Linked DNA regions of Saccharomyces cerevisiae S288C. The protein of the gene in region 1 interacts with the protein of each later gene in a biochemical or structural test. Each region holds a gene or a part of one and is shown on either strand. Other genes may lie near its edges.

Region 1 (7,068 bases):
AGCTATTTTTCAATCGAATATAATTGAAAAAGTAATTGCTCTCACAGGTAGTCGAATCGTAAAAAAAGGGCAGTAAGAACAGCACCCGACATGGCTAACCAGGTAAGTAGTAAACTGTTTCGTTCCAAGACGCTAATGCTATTTTATTAACGCTCTCTTTTTTCTCGTTTGCAGAACTCTGACCTTTACAAGCAAATCACTGCCGGCAGTGTAGCTGCTGTGTTTCAAACGACAATGACATACCCATTTGAGTACTTAAAGACTGGTTTACAATTGCAACCGAAGGGTACCGCTTTCGAAATCATTTTACCTCAGATTAAGTCGTACTTTGTTGGCTGCTCTGCCCTAAACGTGGCCGCATTTGGTAAGACTATTTTAAGGTTCGTTACGTTCGACAAGTTATGCCACTCCCTGAATAATAACATTGATAATAATGATAATTTTCAAAGACTGACTGGTTATAACCTTTTGATCGCTGGTACGTTGACAGGAATAGTAGAAAGTTTGTTTATTATCCCTTTTGAAAACATAAAAACCACCCTTATCCAATCGGCGATGATCGATCATAAAAAATTAGAGAAGAATCAACCTGTAGTTAACGCAAAGGCAACCTTTCACAAGGTGGCGACTAAATCTACTCCTGTGGCTCGTATCGAGAAACTACTTCCAGCGGTAAAACACATGTATCAAACAAGAGGCCCTGCTGCGTTCGTCCAGGGAACAACAGCCACCATATTTAGGCAGATAGCTAACACCTCTATTCAATTTACTGCATACACAGCATTTAAACGGTTGTTACAAGCAAGAAACGACAAGGCATCCTCAGTAATAACGGGGTTAGCCACATCTTTTACACTCGTGGCAATGACTCAGCCCATTGACGTCGTAAAAACAAGGATGATGAGTCAAAATGCCAAAACTGAATATAAAAATACCTTAAATTGCATGTATAGAATATTTGTTCAAGAAGGCATGGCCACATTCTGGAAGGGCTCCATCTTTAGGTTTATGAAAGTCGGTATTTCAGGAGGCTTAACGTTCACTGTTTATGAACAGGTTAGTTTGTTACTAGGCTTCTCTTCCAGGTCTTGATAATTTTGTGGATCTTTTACTCTTTTCTGTACATAAATTGCCACTATTTAATTATTTTCTCTACGGTATCTTTTTTAGAACAAATAACTTTCAATTCTTGATTGAAGTTCTAAGGGAAGCAATTCGTGCGCGAGCTCAAACATATCATCAACGTTATTGATAATACCCATATCGATAAACGAATCTACCAATTCCTGTTTTTGTAACGTGCCGATTTTTTGTTTCAAGAAATCCATTATATTTAAAGATTCCTCCTGTATAGTAGACCACGTTTGTTTCGGCAATATTATCCTATTCTCATTCAAAAATTGCCTTGTAAGATGTTTTAGATCCATTATTTGCAGCGGTTTTATAGAAGAACGTCTCACCGCAGGGACATTTAAACGGATAGGATCGTTGCCTATATCATCCAAATTTTCGTCACTGGTGTTTTCAAACGAATAATCTTCGTTTTCTGCTTCTTCTGTCTCCTCTTTATCGTCGCTTGGTAAATCTTCAGATAGTGGTTCTTCCTGTTGCGTTATGGAAATTGGTACCGGATCACGTACTGGCGGTTCATCTACCTGATCCATTCCAATGCTTGGCGACGTGCGCAAAACTTCCATAGAGATACTGTTAGCTTTATCTGGAGAGTGCACTGTCAATTCATCCTCGTGTCCTGTCGTGGGAACATCTTGTATTATTATCGGGTCAATCTTCCTACTTTTCAAGCCTTTGTCTCTTTCCTGCAATTTTGCAAATACTGTTTGCGATAAGGAAGTATAATCAGGTTGCGTTTCATTGCCAATGTTGTTATCTGTCAGTTTCTCACTTCTGCTCCGAAGAAGCTCATTCTCCTCTGGTTGGCTCTCTTCGTACGCTAATTCATCTATTAGATTCCGTGCTTGAGTTTTATTAGTAGTTGTATCGTTGCCTTGTGATTTGCGTGCTAACACTTGGCTTAAGTCTTGTAAAAAACTTCGTACTTCGTTCGGATCTTTATTGAGGATGTCATGAGACTTAGTAGAAGCAGATAAAAGTTTTCTATAACCTGGCGTATTTCTGATCAGTACCTCATCCTTGAGACGTTGTTCTTCAAGGGCTCTCTCCCGAAAGGGGGTTCTGATCTCTGAGACTTCTGTATTCTCGTTGTTACCGGCGGCCTTCCTGGGAGTGCTCATTATTCATTTCTTATTTCGTTACTAATCGTCGTGTGTGTCATTAATCGGTAACGCGTAGCTTCTTAATCTTATTTAGAATATGTAAATAAAAAAAAGTAAAAATCGAAGCCTAAGCATTTTCAATGAGCCAGTTTCAATGAGAAATCAATCACTGGTGTGCCTTGATGAATGCTACTAGTGCTGTAAATGTCAATGTCATCGCACAAATACTCCTCGAGGTTGTCCAAATTCAAGCCTCCACTACATTCCAAGAGGAAATGCTTTTTACCATTCCATTTGTTCTTAAGACTTTGGGCGCACATTTTCAAACCGTCACCTTTGAAATTATCCAACATGATAACGTCTGCACCAGCTTCAATGGCCTCTGTGGCTTCATCTTCACTCAAACACTCCACTTCGATCTTCACAGCAAACCCGCACACGGCCCTGGCGTTCTTAACTGCGTTTGTTATAGAACCAGTAGCCCAAATATGATTATCTTTGAGCATGACCATAGAGGAAAGGTCGTATCTGTGCGTGTCGCAGCCACCTACAAGCATGGAATACTTTTCTAATCTACGTAAACCTGGTGTAGTCTTTCTTGTCCCCGCAATGGTCCCCTTGTAACCAGTCGAACGCGCCAAACTGATTATCTTATGTGAGGCGGTGGCAATTCCACTACTTCTACTAAGGATGTTCAAGGCGGTTCTTTCAGCTAATAGAATGTTTTTAGCGGGCCCAGTAATTTTAGCTACAACAATCTTACCAGAGTCATTCTTCGAAGGCTCCAAGAAGGAGCCTTCCTTAAACAACCACTCAACTTGCAATTCGCACTGATTAAAGACTTCTTGCGCAAAGGGGACACCACACAGCATACCATCCTGCTTACAGTACAAATTGGCCTCCTTTAGGTCGGAACCAACAACATATCCACCAAAATCAAAAGAAGGAACGTCCTCGCTCAGCCAATTGGTGACGTCTTGTCTCCATGCTCCATTAACGGGCAATAAGTGTTCATAAACAGGCATTTTTTTTTTTTGGTGTGTGTTCTTTCTGAGGATTGCGTTCTTTTTGTTGCGTTATTAAGTGGTGTCTTTAATTTTCGAATTTATGGCCCAAGATATACGAAAACTGCGGTAGGAGTCATGATAAATGGGGGCTCTTCAACCAACCGGCGTCACCAAAAGCAAAAATATCCTGGAGCGAAATATCACATTGTTTGTAACCAAGCTTGTACCTTTGACAAGTTAACTTACGTCTTGCCGGGGTTTGCTACTACGCATTCAAGTATATAAAACGTTGTGACACACAAGTTGATAGAAACCTCAGGATGTATAACTACAATTCTAGTTTCCATCTCATTAGTCCCAAATGACAATAAAAAAAATTACTGGCCATGGAAGATGACAAGCCGAATATTAGCTCCTTCGATCGAACTGTGCGTGGAGAAGAAGCTACTACTATTTAATAATTAGTATCCCGTGATTTTGAGCTGTCGCTGGCATTATGTACCTGACATTAGGTATTTAGGAAAGGTAGGGTAGATCAGTTTAGTACCTCAATGGGTGCGGAAGGTTAATCTTGAAAAATTTGCGATTAGTAGACAAGTTTATTCTCACAAGAACAAAATATTCAGTTCATTTCAGATATGATCGTGAAGGTGGAAATCTTTTTTTTAAAAATGAGAAGTGTGCCCAACAAAGAAGTAAAAGACAAGTTAGCTTTCTGTCATGCTTGAAAACTTTATGGAAGCCTGTGCATTGGCATTAGAGGCATCTCCGACAATCAGAAGAACACTTCTTGTTATTATAATTACCCATATATTTTTTTTTTTTTCAAATTGACTACTAGGAAAAAGTGACAATTTATAGTAAAACTGGCTAGAAAAACCTACAAGAAAAACAAAACCAGGTTAGGCATACATTAATACAAGATTATATCAATCGGAAGTTCGTATGCAAAATTGCATATGGAGCAAAGGAAAGGACTTCCATTTAAGACGACAGTATGAGTTATAAGGCTAACCAACCATCTCCTGGGGAGATGCCGAAAAGGTCACCTTCCATCCTGGTGACAGATGCAAGAACATCCAAGAATAGAATGAGTGCACCGTTCGCTGGACACGCTGCTGGTAGTAGGAAGAATATGGAAAACGCAGGAGTTACGAAGTCTCAAGGAGTTCGCTCTTCCGCTATTGGCCCTTCTCCGCTGCAGAGTTTTACTCATCCAAGAAGGCGATCGTCTGGCAGGTTTAGCGATATATCCATAGATAATATTCTTTCTGATAATTCAGATATTCCCTCTGCCAGAAGAGAGGAAAGGCTATCCAGCTCTTCAAGCGATAGGCCTCGCCAATATGAGCGGTTAAGTTCGCGTAGAAAGATGATCAATCCCCTGCCTCCAAGAACATCGAAGACGTCACAAAAGTTAGTGTTGATACCGGAAGACGACAACTTGAACCACTTTCAAACTCTACCAACGAACGCGCTGGATAGGCAAAGACCGAAAGTGGGCTCTATGAAGTCTAATTCCTTCGATCGGCTACCTCGATACTCAAAAGAAAAGTCCATGGCAAGAATCACCGCATATAATGTTGCTGATGGCTTCAATCTCAACCAATTGTATAAGTTTCTGCAGGAAACTCATGAGGTTTCACCAAGATTGTATGATGAGTGTCTATACGTTGCGTATACTTTGCCACTTCTACCAGGTAAAGGCGGTTTTAGAATCAAATCAAATTTATCTAAGAAAACAATGGGTGGAAAGACATTAATTGATAATTTAATTGATACAAGCGAACAGAGAGATCATCATTATGAATATTACTCAGGTGTGGAAACTGTGGAAGATGCAAATAATAATTACGAACTAGAAACCAGTGGAAATAACAATAACGCTAATCAAGACACCACAACAGTTCCCGATCATCTACCAAATCCAGTTGGTCAGCAAGACTCTTTTAATCCTATGGAACCACAATTTTTTGCGGAAGAAACTCCCTTAGAGATAGAGAAACGGGAAAGGACAGAAAGAATAAACATGCTGAAGAAGGAGGAAAACGACAGTGATGCAAGTTGTGGCAACGATAATAATAATAAAAATAATGATAAGAGTAAACTTTATGCTGTTGAGGGAAACGATCAGTATGTACAGTCCTCTCGTTCACCAGCTTCGCCATCATCAATATCTACGCCATCGCCACCATCTTCATCACAGAATGATTTTGATCGTGTATATAAAATGCATAGGGACAACGACCATGAAGGCAATGATAGACATGCAGAAATTTTCATTTTTCACTATGGCGTTATTGTTTTTTGGAACTTTACTGAAATTCAAGAGAAAAATATTCTTGGTGATATAACATTTGCAGATTATAAGAATTTAATGATCCGGCCGCTGGATGAACAAGATATTGAAACTGAACAATTCCATTTCGAATATGACAGAGATACCGAGAGACCGAGAATTTTCAATGATATTGTCACATTACGTTCAGGTGACCACATTATCGAGCTGACACTATCACATGCGATTGCGCAATCTTCGAAATTATCAAGGTTTGAATCCAGAATTTCGCCGATTTTAATATCAGTCACAAAACTACCTAAAAGACTAGCATTATATGGTACCCTTGGGTTAAAAAGGGAACAGCTTTTGAAAAAATCAGGGAAGCTCTTTAAATTGAGAGTGGATGTTAACCTTTCATCCACCATATTGGATACACCCGAGTTTTTTTGGTCGTTCGAACCAAGTTTGCATCCACTGTACGTGGCAATGAGGGAGTATTTAGAAATTGACCAAAGAGTACAAGTATTAAATGATCGTTGCAAAGTTTTCTTGGAATTCTTTGATATATGCGTTGACTCTGTTGCTGAAAGAAACATGGCTCGTGTTACATGGTGGTTTATTCTTGTCATTTTATTTGGAGTTATATTTTCATTAACAGAGATTTTCGTTCGTTATGTAATTATTCATCGTCATACTTCTACATAGATATTCATACACCCTTCTAGACGGCATTAAAAATAAATTAATGATATATTTAGTTATCAAGGTTTTTAGTCATATATTTCACCGTTATTACCATTCTTGGTCACGTGCAAGTAAAACCACTCGTTGATTGGCTCCCCTCAAGATTGCATTAAAAGTACAATAATATGACTAAGGGACTCGAATATGTAAATTCATCTTTCGCATCAACAAAGGAGAAAAAGACGATAGTGAAGACTAATATTTTAGCCAGATTGCAGTGTTTCAGTGATCTTAAAAGTCTTTTTCATTTCTAGCCGCATTGAATTCTTTAAAGCAAACCATTAAGGAGTACTTCCCCAGGTTTTTAACCGATAATAAGAGTAAGATAAAAGTACAAGAAGACAGGGAAATGATTGCTACACCTATAAGATTAGCAAAGAGTGCATATGAGCCGATGATAAAATTCGTCGGTACAAGGCATCCCTTAGTGAAGCATGCAACTGAGGTCGTTGTTCATCCTTGCGCTACCAACGGAATGTTACCTGGCAGCAAAGAGTGTATTCCAGTGAGTAAATTCATGGAAAATTATAAACCATTCCGTGTAGTGCCAATAAAGCATAGCGCTAATGCTGGTCTCAGCTCGTCAAAGACCTCTGTATTCGTTAACAGGCCATTGCAAAAAGATGAGCTTGCTTCCATTTTCGAGCTACCTGCTAGGTTTCGGTACAAACCTATTAACGAGCATGAATTGGAGAGCATAAATAGCGGTGGTGCATGGTGAAGGATAGATGCAGTAATATTATGATTTTTTTTTGTTATTTTATAGTTTCTTTACACATATCATTATATCTATGTAAAAACG
Region 2 (7,232 bases), on another chromosome or scaffold:
AACCTTCTACCTCTGCTCAGGGCACCTCTGCTGATGAAGGGTCTGGTTCGAGTATAACCACCACTATTACAGCCACCAAAAATGGACATGTCTACACAAAGACCGTCACCCAGGACGCTACTTTCGTATGGACTGGTGAGGGTGAACGTGCTCCTGTCTCAACCGTTGCTACTGTCGAAACAGCTGCTTCTCCAGTAACATCTGTTGCTGAACCTTCTGCCTCTACTGATGAAGGATCTGGTTCGAGTATAACTACCACTATTACAGCCACCAAAAATGGACATGTCTACACAAAGACCGTCACCCAGGACGCTACTTTCGTATGGACTGGTGAGGGTGAACGCGCTCCTGCCTCCACCGTTGCAACTTCTAGTATTTCTGCTATTGAAATTCCCTCCACTACTGAGGCCTCTATTGTGGAGGCTTCTTCTGCTGTTGAGACTTCCTCTGCTGCTGAGACTTCCTCTGCTGTTGAGACTTCCTCTGCTGTTGAGACTTCCTCTGCTGTTGAGACTTCTTCTGCTGCTGAGACTTCCTCTGCTGCTGAGACTTCCTCTGCCGTTGAGACTTCCTCTGCTGTTGAGATTTCTTCTGCTGTTGAGACTTCTGCTGTTGAGACTTCTTCTTCTTCCTCTACTATCGAGACCACTTCTGTTAAAAGCTTATCTCCTACTCAGACTTCTCTTTCATCTTCTGTCCAGGCTTCTTCTCCTATTGAGACTTCTTCTGCTGCAAAAACCTCTTCTGTTGTGCCAACTTTTTCTTCTACTACTACTGAAAATTCCTCTAATTCTAAATCCACGTCTGCAGTTGTAGCATCTACTACCACCTCCTCTGAGTCAAGCGCTACTATTGTTACTCCTACTAGAATTGGGCAAGCTTACACAGAGAGTTCTTCTAGGGATGCCCAATCTGTTCGTACCCATGAAAGTAACAATTGGTCATCAAGTTCTTCTGCAAGCACAAAAATGGTATCCTCTATTACAAGAGTTCAAACCACTACCGCTGGTATTTTCACTAACGGTAAGTCGTCCACAACTCCTCAAATCGTGAATTACACGGGTGCGGCTGATTCTATCGCCGCTGGTACGGGTCTGATGGGCGCTGCGCTCGCTGCCGTTATCTTTTTGTAATTTCTGCTAACGACAGATGCGCAGAATCAACCTTTCTGATCTCTCCGTGGTCTTACTTTTCAAAATGGCATTGTGAATTAAGTATTTCATCATAGTTGATAAAGCTTATGTCCGCAATGTTATTTGTCTGCGTGACACTGGCTGTCTATAAGAATGTACCAGTATGTAATATTATATCAAGAAAATATCAGGTGTTGATTAAAATAATCTAAAAACAATGTCTATTTCACTTGTTAAATATGACTTTTCAAAAATAACCATTTTATTTATTTCTTGCTTTTTAAAAGGTGAGAGTGGGTATTTGTTTTATCTGACGCCAAGGAAAATAAAAGTTAAAAAATGACATGATGATTTTATAGTTCAAAACAAGAAATGAACTTTCGTGTTTGTGATCAGATTCAAATGGAGTATAATACTGAAAGAAGGTCGAGAAAGACAAGCAAGCAAATTCACAACTTCATTGAGCGCATTTTATTGAAATTACCTGTAGCAATGAGTAGTTCAGTTTGTCATATAATTATGTTTTTGTGAGAAATTTTAGCTTTTGGTACTGTGCCAGTTATCCGAATTTAAAAAAAAAAGTTATATATGGCTGTAATAATTTAGGTCAGAGAGAAGAAAACACGAAGTTTACTACGTGTATTAAAAATAGAACATTAAACATGCACCAAATGCTTTAATGAACACTTTCGGAAGAATAAGCCCATAAAAAAATCACGACGTACCGTTGCGACAGATAGGATCGTTCTTTCTAGGAGATTTTTTAGCTGCTACGGAATAAAAGAAATAATGCTGACTAATACGCAGGATATCCATGGGAGGCGGCTTTTTGTTCTGACGGATCCATAAATCCCGTAAAGAAATCTGGGCGAATGTATACAGAGAATTAACGTTACTCATTCCTAGCCTGAAAATCAAAAAGCTTGGCATAAGGGGCATGTACATAGTCTTCATGAAAGAAATGGAAAATTTTTTCAAGGGATGGCTTCACGGTTCCATTATTGCTTCCGGTTTCCGTTACCCTTTAAATCAGATATATAAACAGCCATAAGGAGAACCATTCATTTCTTTATCATCCGCTAAATTTTATTAACGGCATTTTTAAGTACTTCCCACTGGCTAATTACACAGATAAAACTCAAACAAATTTATAATGGCCCCAAAAAAAGTTTTACTCGCTCTTACCTCATATAACGATGTATTCTACAGTGACGGCGCCAAGACCGGTGTTTTTGTTGTAGAAGCCTTACATCCCTTCAACACATTCCGAAAAGAAGGTTTTGAAGTCGATTTTGTATCTGAAACCGGAAAATTTGGTTGGGATGAGCATTCCTTAGCCAAAGATTTTCTAAATGGTCAAGACGAAACGGATTTTAAAAATAAAGACTCAGATTTCAACAAGACATTGGCTAAAATTAAGACACCAAAAGAGGTGAATGCCGATGATTACCAAATTTTTTTTGCATCTGCAGGCCACGGTACCTTATTTGACTATCCTAAGGCTAAAGACTTGCAGGACATTGCTTCCGAAATTTATGCTAACGGTGGTGTTGTCGCAGCTGTTTGTCACGGTCCTGCTATTTTTGATGGGTTAACAGACAAAAAAACAGGAAGACCATTGATCGAAGGTAAATCTATCACCGGTTTTACTGATGTTGGTGAAACCATTTTGGGTGTTGATAGTATTTTGAAAGCCAAGAATTTGGCAACCGTTGAAGATGTTGCTAAAAAATATGGCGCTAAGTATTTAGCTCCGGTTGGGCCCTGGGATGATTACTCTATTACTGACGGAAGACTGGTAACAGGTGTGAATCCTGCTTCTGCGCACTCCACTGCCGTAAGATCCATCGACGCTTTAAAAAACTGAGCCAAAGGTTGATAATTAGAATTTCCTTTGTACTACTATATAGATGTAAGGAACTTTAGGAGGCGTTATTGAGTACGAGGGATGTACCTCATTGTTAATACGTTGAAATATTTGGATATTGGGGAAACACATGTCTGAGATGGGTCTTCCAATAACCAAAGTTTATAATCTTTATCTTTTATCTGCTTTAGCTAGAGGTTAATAGTGAAGACTACATTTGGTCTCCAACAAGGTGCTACAATTTATTTTTCAGCCACTCCGTTGCACAGCATTTATCTAGCCAACGTTAATATCAATGAGAATGGAGAAGAAAGCATTAGCGTCGTTACGCTGCAAATCATCTATGCAATATGTAAAACTATACATAAAACTTTCTAAATTTTTTTTTTTTCATTTTGGTATTTCTGTCAGCTGCCGATGCTTCCTAAAGGGTTTATTCATGTGGGACATTGTAGGTGTGTTTCAGTTATCTAATGGTTATTTGCATCTTAGTGAGCTGTTCCTTGCGGTTTCTTGCTAAATGATCACGAAAAATGTTTTTTTCTCAGGTTAATTATGGCAGAATGTCGACACGAATTGGTCATATTGAAAATATTTAGTAATGCCCATCAATTAAATTGAACGTTATATCATCCGGATAAACAATATCTTCCAGATTAAAAAGGAAAAATAATTTAGGGCATACGTATTAGGTTATTCAACCAGAAATTAGCATTTGGCTGTCTTTAATGCCATCGCTTGGGAACTAGGCAGTTAAATATAAGCACATGTAAAAAAAGTGAAGATCGCGTAACTCATTATTTATAAACACAAGGAGAATGAGCAGCATCAAAAAAACTTCAACCAATAGAAAAAAACATATAGACTAGCTTTAAAACAAAATTAGTGAAGAAATGGATACAGGGAGTGCGAGCATAAAGGACTATGAGACCGTGTTAACGGATATTGAGGATTCTATTGCTGTGAGCAGCGAAGAAGTGCTAAATAACCAAGAACTAAGGCTCAAAAATACATTGCACGAAATTACTTCCAGCATTCTGGCAATAAATGAAGAGAACAAGTTTGTGAATCCTCTTAGGAACGATGAGAGCTTAGACGTAGAGGGAAAGGAGGTCTTTGTAAATCCAAAAATTCTGAGTGCAAAAATCAAGGAGTTCAATAAACTAATGGAGTTACTTAAGTTGACTTACTTGGAACAGGAGACATTGGACTATTTCTTCAGGTTTACTTTGTCCTCGACGAAACCTTTGCAGTTAGATTCCGAAAAAGACCCCCAATTTGTAAAACTTAATGAAAGAGTTAATGATTTAAAGGAAGAAATTTCGAATGTTCAAGAAAGCAAAATAGAACAAATCAAAGCTGAAATCCAAGAGACCGGTCACAACTTTGCAGAAAGGCAAGATTTAATAAATGAGTTGTATCTGGAAGCCACTGGTGATATTGAAAATTGTTGGGATTCGCTCAATGAACTAAAAAATTTAACAAACAAAGAAGATAAGAATATGATGGGAGAAAAAGATACGATATTAAATTCAAGTGATTCAGATGATTTTGTGGAAGAGACATACACGAATTGGCAAAAACTACTATTTTTGCAGAAGCAAAATCAAAGGTTAACGAAAGAGCTCAAGGAAATGCATGAAGTTAAAAATCAAATAATACGAAAAGGAGAGCAATCAAAAAAAGAGGATTCTGGACATTTAATGGCCAATGAATCAGAATTATGTCAGTCAATTAATTTGCTAACAAAATTTTGGGAAAAGCACTTTTTACTCAAAGGGTCAAAGACGACTATATTAAATTTTGAAATCTTTACCCAGCTTGGAAAAGTACAATTTGAAATAAAGGATATGCAATATATAATTGCCATATCTTTAAGCGATTTAAAAAGGCCAATGATAAAAGACATTACTATTTTACAAAAAGCGGGTGGCAATATAGTCACAGACATTGAAGCGAGCAGTAAATTTAACAATAAGTACAGAAATAATACTAAGGTGCAAATCTTTGAGGTAATGGATGACATTATAAGCGAGCTAACAAACGAATAAATTAATTATCTAGATAAAGATGTATGTAATATTACTAGCCAAAAAAAAAGTGAAATCTATCTACGTACTTGTTTTCTTAGTAGATGAATGACGAGACGCGCTTAGGAAAGCACCCATTGCACCCAAATAGCCTTCATGTTTGAGAAAAAACGCTTGCTTTGATCCTTGTGACCAAAAATTAATAGCGTAGCTCAAAGTGTTCATGGTAGTCAAATGTCCTCTGGTATAAGATCCGCCAAAGTATATATTCTGTATATTATTGATTTTAGCTTGCAAATAAGCTATTTGCCCAATATTGTTGGAGATGGCGAATAGAAGACTTTTACAAATATCAGGATTCTTAAACATTTGTCCATTGTTTTTCTCAATAGACTCATGTGAGGAATATAATTTATTTTCGTTGTTTTCCAAAGATTTGTTAGATGTCATTCTATTTTGGAAAACTTTACCAAATGAACTTGCAATAGCTGACGACTTTAGACCAATTTTATTATAGTCTGTTCCATAAATATCTCCAACTAGCATATCAACGCTAGAATTGTCACCCTCTTGTGCCCAATCGAGCATCTGATCATAAGTTTGAGCGCCAGTAATTAGTGATAATAGGCCCCAAAGAGTTCCTCCTCCCAGTGAAGAACCGCCTACTCTACTAAAATTGTTTGGTTCGGTGACTTTTAATATTGAGACACCCGACCCTATATTGACTAGAAGGTATGGGTAGATAGCCTTTGAGTCCATGGTGCCGGAACTGGTGGGTATTATCCTTTCGCCATCTTGATCGTTGTAAGTGAAAACTTCATCGGGAATCTCATGAATGAAAAAGTCTAAACCGTGAATTAAGCCTTCCATTTCTTCGAACCTCGATATACCTTTTATTTGAGGAAAATTTTCATACAACAAATCATAAAACTTGAAGGCGCCACCACCAGTGGCAATTATATGAGTCATTCTATAGCATCCATTGTTATGTTCTTTGATAATAGAATGCAGAAGTTCCATGAACTTGTCAATTTTCTCTGTTTCAATGGTGTAGAACATCAGCCTGTTACTGTGTATAGGCGAGAAGACTACTTTAGCCAGAGTGCCTCCTATATCAATAGCAAGGTTGAAAGTATTGTCGCCATAATCGCAATTGTAAGATATCTCTTGAGTAATTCGCGGCATTGCGATTCTTTTCGCATGCACTCAATTGGAACTATAAATTTCTTTATTCTGGTAGTTTTTTAGTTTTAATGATCAATCTGTTCAGAAACATAAGTTCTTTTTACTCATCGTTATGTTGGTGAAATAAAATTTCGGCCGATATTGGGGGAACTGCGCTAGTCGTTTAACGTCATGTAAGATTCCTAAGTGGAACAGTCAGAAGTAAAAAAAAAAAAATCGGTCCCGGCAATTACAAACTAAAGGAGCTCAATGCGTAGATCGCGGATAGTTCTCCGCATTTGAGTGAAACTTTTTGAGATACTGTCGTAAATACGCAATCATGAACGACCATATGAATAATACTCGATCATACCAACGTCACGTGTAAAGCTTTTGCCTGTTTCGAAAATGTGTTGAACTATTGAAATATAATAAAATTAAAAGGCAACCGAGCCCCTGGGTCAGAGAAAATAGGAAGACAAAGATGATTGAAGAGAATTTGAAACAGAAAATCCACGATAAGTTCGTTGCAGCCAAAAAGAATGGGCATCTGAAAGTAACGCATGCAGAATCCAAGAAGTTGAAAGATCCTCAAACGACGACACAATATTGGGTGACATTTGCTCCATCTTTGGCACTTAAGCCAGACGCTAACAAGAATAGCGATTCAAAGGCGGAGGACCCGTTCGCCAATCCCGACGAAGAACTAGTGGTGACTGAAGATCTAAATGGTGACGGAGAATATAAGCTGCTACTCAACAAATTTCCTGTGGTCCCTGAACATAGTCTCCTAGTGACAAGCGAGTTTAAAGACCAGAGATCTGCTTTGACGCCAAGTGACTTGATGACTGCTTATAATGTGCTCTGTTCTCTCCAAGGAGACAAGGACGATGATGTCACTTGTGAAAGGTATCTGGTCTTTTATAATTGTGGACCTCATAGCGGTTCCTCACAAGATCACAAACACTTGCAGATCATGCAAATGCCTGAAAAATTTATACCTTTTCAGGACGTATTGTGCAACGGAAAGGATCATTT
Region 3 (7,468 bases), on another chromosome or scaffold:
AAGGCGTTTATTTTCTCGAAATGAACCTGTGAATAACACAGCTGGCTCCAACTCAAACACTCAACTGCGTCATTTCTTATTCGCTTTCCAAATCATGCATGATTTTTCTTTCTCTTGCCTGCAGTGCTCGTTTCACCGCTCGCGTACTCGTCCATTCTTTGTCAGCGAAGAGGCTCTAACAGTGGAGAGCACATCTGGCAAGTAAAATGATAGGTTGCGCAAGGGGGTAGGGGAATGACTAATAAAGCATTACTACCATCATACCAAGTTCCCATTCATGTACACATAGTCTCTTTAATTGCCTTCTTGAATGGAGGCCAGTAGATATTTGGAGAAGCTTTTCTTGCAGTTCGGGTAATATCGAACGGCGTACATCTATAAGGGGAAAAGCTACTTCCGCTTCTCATATATCTATTTTGCAGTGTGACTCTTCCTGGCTTGCTAAGTATTGTACCTGTTATGGGGCAAGCAAGATTTCTCATTGAAAAAAGATATAATACTTATTTGCAGCCAATAGTGACGGATTCTAGTGTTCTTCTTTTCCATAAGTTGATTACGCTATTCACCCAAACTGACTCTTTAGTGCGCTAATAAGCTGAGAGGATTTGAGAGGGAAAAAAAGAGAGAAGGACAGAAAAGAGCAGCCTGAAATTCATAGCATAATGGTTAAGGAAACTCCATTACACTCATCTTCATCAACTTCGCTGTCTTCATTATTTAGGCCAACTAAGTTGAAGAATTTATCGGCTAAAATATTCAATGGAGGTGGTAACCAATCATACTCAAAGACAGATGATGTTTCAAGGTCTTCTTCTAGATCTTCAAAAAAGAATACAGATTCTGACCAAGAGGATCAAATAAAGTATAACAAACCCAACGACCGAAGATCTACCATAGGAAAGAGCCCCCAGGGAAATGGCGCGTTGTCAAAGGAGTCACACGTAGTAGCAAGTTCTACTTTGACAGGTATTTCTCCTACTTCAGCTAAAAAAGCTCCTATTGACTACTCTCCTTCACGGCCCTTACCTAACAATCATAATCCCGTTCGTACGGGACACACTGTGCCCCACTTACCCCATAGTATTCACAATCCAATAAACTACATTCATCAAGGCTCAAAAGATGCTTTCCACCATCCTCACCCCGTTCGCTCTACAGCTCATAGCAACATTTCTACAGTGTCTTCTGCAAAATCTGATACACCCTCTTCGAATTTATCATACCAGGCACATATGCATCCCGTAGAGATACTACAGAAACAGATTGAAGACAAACACTTCATGGACTCTCAAGCCTCCACCCCTGGGTCCGTGGAACTACAGCATAATTCTTCAAGCGGTAGTGATGATACCTCATCAAGAAAGAAAAAATCCTTGAGATTAACAAGATTTTTCAAAAAAATTCATAATGATTATCACGATAACCATCATCATCACCACCATCACAACCGTGGATCCACCCCTACAAAACCGAAGCTCAATTTGAACACCAATGAAAATATAGTAGAAAGTAACGGAAAAGCGTTATACGAAACAGATAACCCAGTGGAGCTATTAGAAAAATATGGTATTCCTGGTAGAAAATTAGGCGAAGGAGCTTCCGGTTCAGTGTCCGTAGTAGAAAGAACAGACGGCAAGTTATTTGCTTGCAAAATGTTCAGAAAACCACACTTAAACAATGAAGGAACTAATCAGTCTCAATTAGCTAATTATTCTAAGAAGGTTACCACTGAATTTTGTATTGGTTCCACGCTGCACCACGAAAATATCGTTGAAACCCTAGATATGTTGACTGAAGGTGACACCTATTTATTAGTAATGGAGTATGCGCCATATGATTTTTTTAATCTCGTCATGAGTAACCTAATGACACAAGATGAAGTCAACTGTTACTTCAAGCAGCTGTGCCACGGCGTTAATTACCTGCACTCTATGGGCTTAGCTCATAGGGATTTAAAATTGGACAATTGTGTCGTCACTAAAGATGGCATCTTGAAACTGATTGACTTTGGGAGCGCTGTAGTGTTCCAATACCCTTACGAAGATACCATTGTAAAATCACATGGAATCGTGGGTTCTGACCCTTATTTGGCTCCTGAGTTATTGAAACAAACATCCTACGATCCAAGAGTAGCAGATGTGTGGTCTATCGCTATTATATTTTACTGTATGGTCCTTAAAAGATTTCCTTGGAAGGCTCCAAAAAAGAGCTTCAACTCATTTAGGTTATTTACTGAGGAACCTGAGGACGAAGATGATATAGTTCGGGGGCCAAATAAAATATTAAGGCTACTGCCAAGACATTCACGGACAATAATAGGCAGAATGTTGGCTTTAGAACCAAAGCAAAGAGTTTTAATGAATGACGTGGTAAAGGATGATTGGCTTGTATCCGTCCCCTCCTGTGAAGTTGACCCTACATCTGGCGATTTGGTTGAAAAACCAAAGAATCATAAGCATCACTTGGTCACTGAGGAGGAGTTGAATGAGCTGACCAAGCAACACGGGAATAAAGATTCAAATTAATGAAATAAACACTTTTTAAAAGATAAAACCTAAAAAATTGTATATAGAAGATTCAAAGTACTATAAAAGGCATTATATAGGAATAAAAGATGGTGTGCATACAGGTGAAAAAGAAAACTAGTTAAATCTGGAAAAAAAAAACGCTCATATATATACAAAAACATAAATACATTCGTCAAAACAAAAAGCGCTTAAATAAATAAAAGCATTTTTTAGATAATCTCAACGGGCGCCAAATTGAAGTCACCCGACGCATAAAATTGTGAACACGCCCTATTAGATTTTACAAAGAGGAAGTCTCCTCCCCTATAAACTGCAAAGAATAATTGAAAAGTGATTTAGCGCAGATAAATAAGACCACCATAACCACATATGAGTAGGAAAAAATGTTCAAAGTTCCAGTGGGATTAGCCAGTAGGACAAGGGAGCTTATGAACAGCGTTACGCTCAATAGTCTCAATAATGGAAAGGGTTTCAATATGTACTTGCCAGGAATATTAAGGGCTTTTCCTAAACCAGTGCCTTCGGCGATTACATCTCCCGCAATTCCAAAATATCGAGGAGAAAGTTTCCAGTTTCGTAAGCTTTCATGCATTTCTTCTAATTATTGTTCTACCACTCACCAATTTCTATCCAGTCTGAAAAGCTCGACATCCAGGTTGGTTGGTAAAAGAGCCTTCCATTCGTCACGACGTGCAGAAATAAAGTTTATATTTTCTTCGAAGTCACCAAAGAACGGTAACAAGCCGTTTGTGAAAGTATATAAAGTCTCCCCATTTTTTATCATATTTGCAACTGCAAGTATCTTCACATTCATTCTAACATCAACGATAGTCGTTATTCCCTTAATTTTTCACTTTTTTTTTCCCCTTCTTATTATGTTCTTTTTTTTTAAACAATTCAAAAAATGGCAGAAAAATATCTTTTACAAAGATGTCTTGACCTCCTTACCGAAAACAAAATTGAAAATAACATTACCCACCATGAGATCATTACAATTACAACCTATGGTTCAGAGTTGGAAAGAGATATCTTCCAGGATGGGAATTCCAAACGAGTTTGCCAAAGGTTTGAATGTTGATTTAGTAAAGCAAGAAGAAACCAGAAAGCAGTTTCTAAGTTTCCTGCAGAAAAGAGTGTTGGAGTCCTTCACCAAGAACGAACTGGGAATAAGATCCTACTTTTTAGGAGACAGCGTCGAGAAATGGATCAAAGAATCCTATGACTTGGAACTCGATATTGATAATTGCCGAAGTGAACTCAGAAAATTCCAAACTTTCATATTTTCCAGTGTTCGATACAAGTTGTATTTAGACTCAATGAAAAATTTACCGCTAAACCCTTCAAAAAAACTCGAGGGCAAGAAGCATATTGCAGACGTATATGTCATTATTTTAGACGAATCCTTTCCTGCAATAATGTTCAATGGCGGAGCTTATTCGAAGGCTGATTTTTTCAAGATATTACAAGAAAGTGAAACCTCTAACAGCAGCAAAACCCTTAACACAATTATTGCCATCAAAAGTGTAAATACGCTACTATCAAAACACTTTGTTATCACAACAAATGGTGATTCTGGAGAATTCTTTTCAAAATATAACATTTCAAAAATAAACGACAAAAACACTGAATACACCCTAAAAGAGTAAAGAACATTAAAGTTTTTGTTTGAGCATTACTGTGATGCCACAATTTATATATCATACATGTTTATATATTCTGACCAATACCTTTATTTATGGTGTGCAGTGACACAAAATAATTTTTGGTGTCACTTCCATCGTATTAAATGATAATATCAATTAGAAATAGTAAACAAAACCAAAAAAAAACTACCAAGGGTTGCAAAGAGTAATAGTGATGTTTATGTGAAGGCAAGCTTAAAGAGAATTTAAGATCTACTATATTAATAGTAACCTACAAAATTTATAGAAGCCTACTTGACCCAGCCCACTGAAGTCTGAATAGGAATATTGCAGTTGTTTATAGAAGTAGCTTTACAACCAAAATAATAAATTGTTTCTGCAAGAACTGGATGATCTCAAAACAAACATGTCAACAAACTCATTCCATGATTATGTGGATTTAAAATCGAGAACTAATACACGACAGTTTTCAGATGACGAAGAGTTCACTACGCCTCCAAAACTAAGCAATTTCGGATCAGCTTTACTTTCCCACACAGAAAAAACTTCAGCATCAGAGATATTATCAAGTCATAATAATGACAAGATCGCAAATCGATTAGAAGAAATGGACAGGAGTTCATCAAGGAGTCACCCCCCACCGTCAATGGGCAATTTGACATCCGGTCATACTAGTACCTCATCGCATTCAACCTTGTTCGGACGATATCTGAGAAATAATCACCAGACTAGCATGACGACGATGAACACTAGTGACATAGAGATAAATGTTGGAAATAGTCTTGATAAGAGTTTTGAAAGGATAAGGAATTTGCGACAAAATATGAAAGAAGATATTACGGCAAAGTATGCTGAAAGGAGAAGTAAGAGATTTTTAATATCCAATAGGACAACGAAGCTGGGTCCTGCAAAGAGAGCGATGACTTTGACAAATATCTTTGATGAGGATGTGCCTAACTCTCCAAACCAGCCAATAAATGCAAGGGAGACAGTGGAATTACCACTTGAGGATTCTCACCAAACAAACTTTAAAGAAACGAAGAGAAATACGGATTATGATTCAATTGATTTTGGAGATTTGAATCCTATCCAGTATATTAAAAAACATAATCTTCCCACAAGTGACCTTCCACTAATATCTCAAATCTACTTTGATAAACAAAGAGAAGAAAATAGACAAGCAGCACTCCGAAAACATAGTTCCAGAGAATTGCTTTATAAAAGTAGGTCTTCTTCCTCTTCACTTTCTAGTAACAACTTATTGGCAAACAAGGACAATTCTATAACATCCAATAATGGTTCTCAACCCAGGCGAAAAGTTTCTACTGGATCATCTTCATCTAAGTCATCGATCGAAATAAGAAGAGCTCTCAAGGAGAATATTGATACTAGCAATAACAGCAATTTCAACAGCCCAATTCATAAAATTTATAAAGGAATTTCCAGAAATAAAGATTCCGACTCCGAAAAAAGAGAAGTACTGCGAAACATAAGCATAAATGCAAATCACGCTGATAATCTCCTTCAACAAGAGAATAAGAGACTAAAACGATCATTGGATGATGCAATAACGAATGAGAATATAAACAGTAAAAATCTAGAAGTATTTTACCATCGACCTGCTCCCAAACCTCCAGTCACCAAGAAAGTTGAAATTGTTGAACCTGCAAAGTCCGCTTCTTTATCGAATAATAGAAATATAATTACAGTAAATGACTCCCAGTACGAAAAAATAGAACTTTTGGGTAGAGGTGGATCCTCCAGAGTTTACAAGGTGAAAGGATCTGGCAATAGGGTATACGCGCTCAAAAGGGTGTCTTTTGACGCTTTTGACGATTCAAGTATTGATGGATTCAAAGGAGAAATAGAACTTCTGGAAAAATTGAAAGACCAAAAGCGTGTAATCCAACTACTAGATTATGAAATGGGGGATGGTTTATTGTATTTGATAATGGAATGTGGTGATCATGATTTGTCACAAATCCTTAACCAAAGAAGCGGCATGCCACTGGATTTTAATTTTGTTAGATTCTATACAAAGGAAATGTTGCTGTGCATTAAAGTAGTTCATGATGCGGGCATAGTTCATTCGGATTTAAAACCTGCAAATTTTGTTTTAGTGAAAGGTATCTTAAAAATCATTGATTTTGGTATAGCAAACGCGGTACCGGAACATACGGTGAATATATATCGTGAAACTCAAATTGGGACTCCAAATTATATGGCACCAGAAGCACTAGTTGCTATGAATTACACACAAAATAGTGAGAACCAACATGAGGGAAACAAGTGGAAAGTGGGGAGACCATCTGATATGTGGTCATGCGGTTGTATTATATATCAGATGATTTACGGGAAACCCCCATATGGCAGTTTCCAAGGCCAAAATAGGCTGTTGGCTATTATGAATCCTGATGTGAAAATCCCATTTCCTGAACATACTAGCAATAATGAAAAGATTCCAAAGTCTGCCATTGAATTAATGAAAGCATGTCTGTACAGGAACCCAGACAAAAGATGGACTGTGGATAAAGTCCTGAGTAGCACTTTCCTTCAACCTTTTATGATATCCGGATCGATTATGGAAGACCTTATTAGGAATGCCGTTAGATATGGCTCTGAGAAGCCTCATATATCACAAGATGATCTCAATGATGTGGTAGACACTGTTTTAAGGAAATTTGCAGATTACAAAATTTAGAAGAGCCGCATAAGGAAGAAAAGCATGTGCCAGTTATGAACATAAATACATTTAGAGTTTGCCATGCATGTACTGATTTATTTACTTTGATCAACTCTTTTTTACATATTTATATATATTCATTTAAATAAATCATCAATCAATTTTTCGACACAGACACTGAATACTTGAAATACCAAGAAAAGGATAACTATCCTCTAACGGCGCTCAGTGAAATATTATATTTTGATTGCTTGTTCAACAATTGTGCCTTATTAACTTATTACATTTATATATAAGTTTATATTATTCCATTTCCATTTTTCATTCGTAGATTTAAACTTTTTTATTAATTCTTTTGGATCAATAAAGTTCAAATCTATCTTGGACCAAATTTAGTCATTGCAGATGGCCCGCTTTCTTGCCATTCTTGCTTAGACAACCACATGTGGTCTTTATCAGCCATGATACTAGCTAAAACGGCACCACCAATGAAAACCATATGCTTTCTCCTTGGAGGATCTTCAATTCTAACTTTGAATTTATCAAGTCTTGAAGGGTCATTGTGTAAAACTCTACTAAACCATAATTGTTTCAATTCTTTCTCTAATCTCGAA

Evidence for each region.
Region 2: the proteins of CNN1 (region 1) and KRE28 interact in a test that uses a peptide from one of them, tested with the Saccharomyces cerevisiae proteins (one large-scale study listed by BioGRID).
Region 3: of the proteins of CNN1 (region 1) and MPS1, one has a biochemical effect on the other in vitro, tested with the Saccharomyces cerevisiae proteins (2 studies listed by BioGRID).

Annotation. Positions count from the first base shown.
Region 1 is NC_001138.5:241,908-248,975, forward strand, and holds CNN1 (centromere-binding protein CNN1), read right to left. Parts: upstream 2,253-7,068; coding exon 1,167-2,252; downstream 1-1,166. Other genes in the region: MRX20 (Mrx20p), read left to right, coding at 91-102, 175-1,092; BNA6 (nicotinate-nucleotide diphosphorylase (carboxylating)), read right to left, coding at 2,372-3,259; RMD8 (Rmd8p), read left to right, coding at 4,239-6,227; alpha-ketoglutarate dehydrogenase subunit KGD4, read left to right, coding at 6,616-6,987. UniProt on the Saccharomyces cerevisiae protein: Component of the kinetochore, a multiprotein complex that assembles on centromeric DNA and attaches chromosomes to spindle microtubules, mediating chromosome segregation and sister chromatid segregation during meiosis and mitosis.
Region 2 is NC_001136.10:1,497,215-1,504,446, reverse strand, and holds KRE28 (Kre28p), read left to right. Parts: upstream 1-3,893; coding exon 3,894-5,051; downstream 5,052-7,232. Other genes in the region: FIT1 (Fit1p), read left to right, coding at 1-1,133; HSP31 (glutathione-independent methylglyoxalase), read left to right, coding at 2,287-3,000; CAB1 (pantothenate kinase), read right to left, coding at 5,112-6,215; APA2 (bifunctional AP-4-A phosphorylase/ADP sulfurylase), read left to right, coding at 6,679-7,232.
Region 3 is NC_001136.10:400,401-407,868, reverse strand, and holds MPS1 (serine/threonine/tyrosine protein kinase MPS1), read left to right. Parts: upstream 1-4,577; coding exon 4,578-6,872; downstream 6,873-7,468. Other genes in the region: putative serine/threonine protein kinase RTK1, read left to right, coding at 663-2,525; MRX9 (Mrx9p), read left to right, coding at 2,912-4,174; ARP2 (actin-related protein 2), read right to left, coding at 7,231-7,468. UniProt on the Saccharomyces cerevisiae protein: Involved in mitotic spindle assembly checkpoint signaling, a process that delays anaphase until chromosomes are bioriented on the spindle, and in the repair of incorrect mitotic kinetochore-spindle microtubule attachments.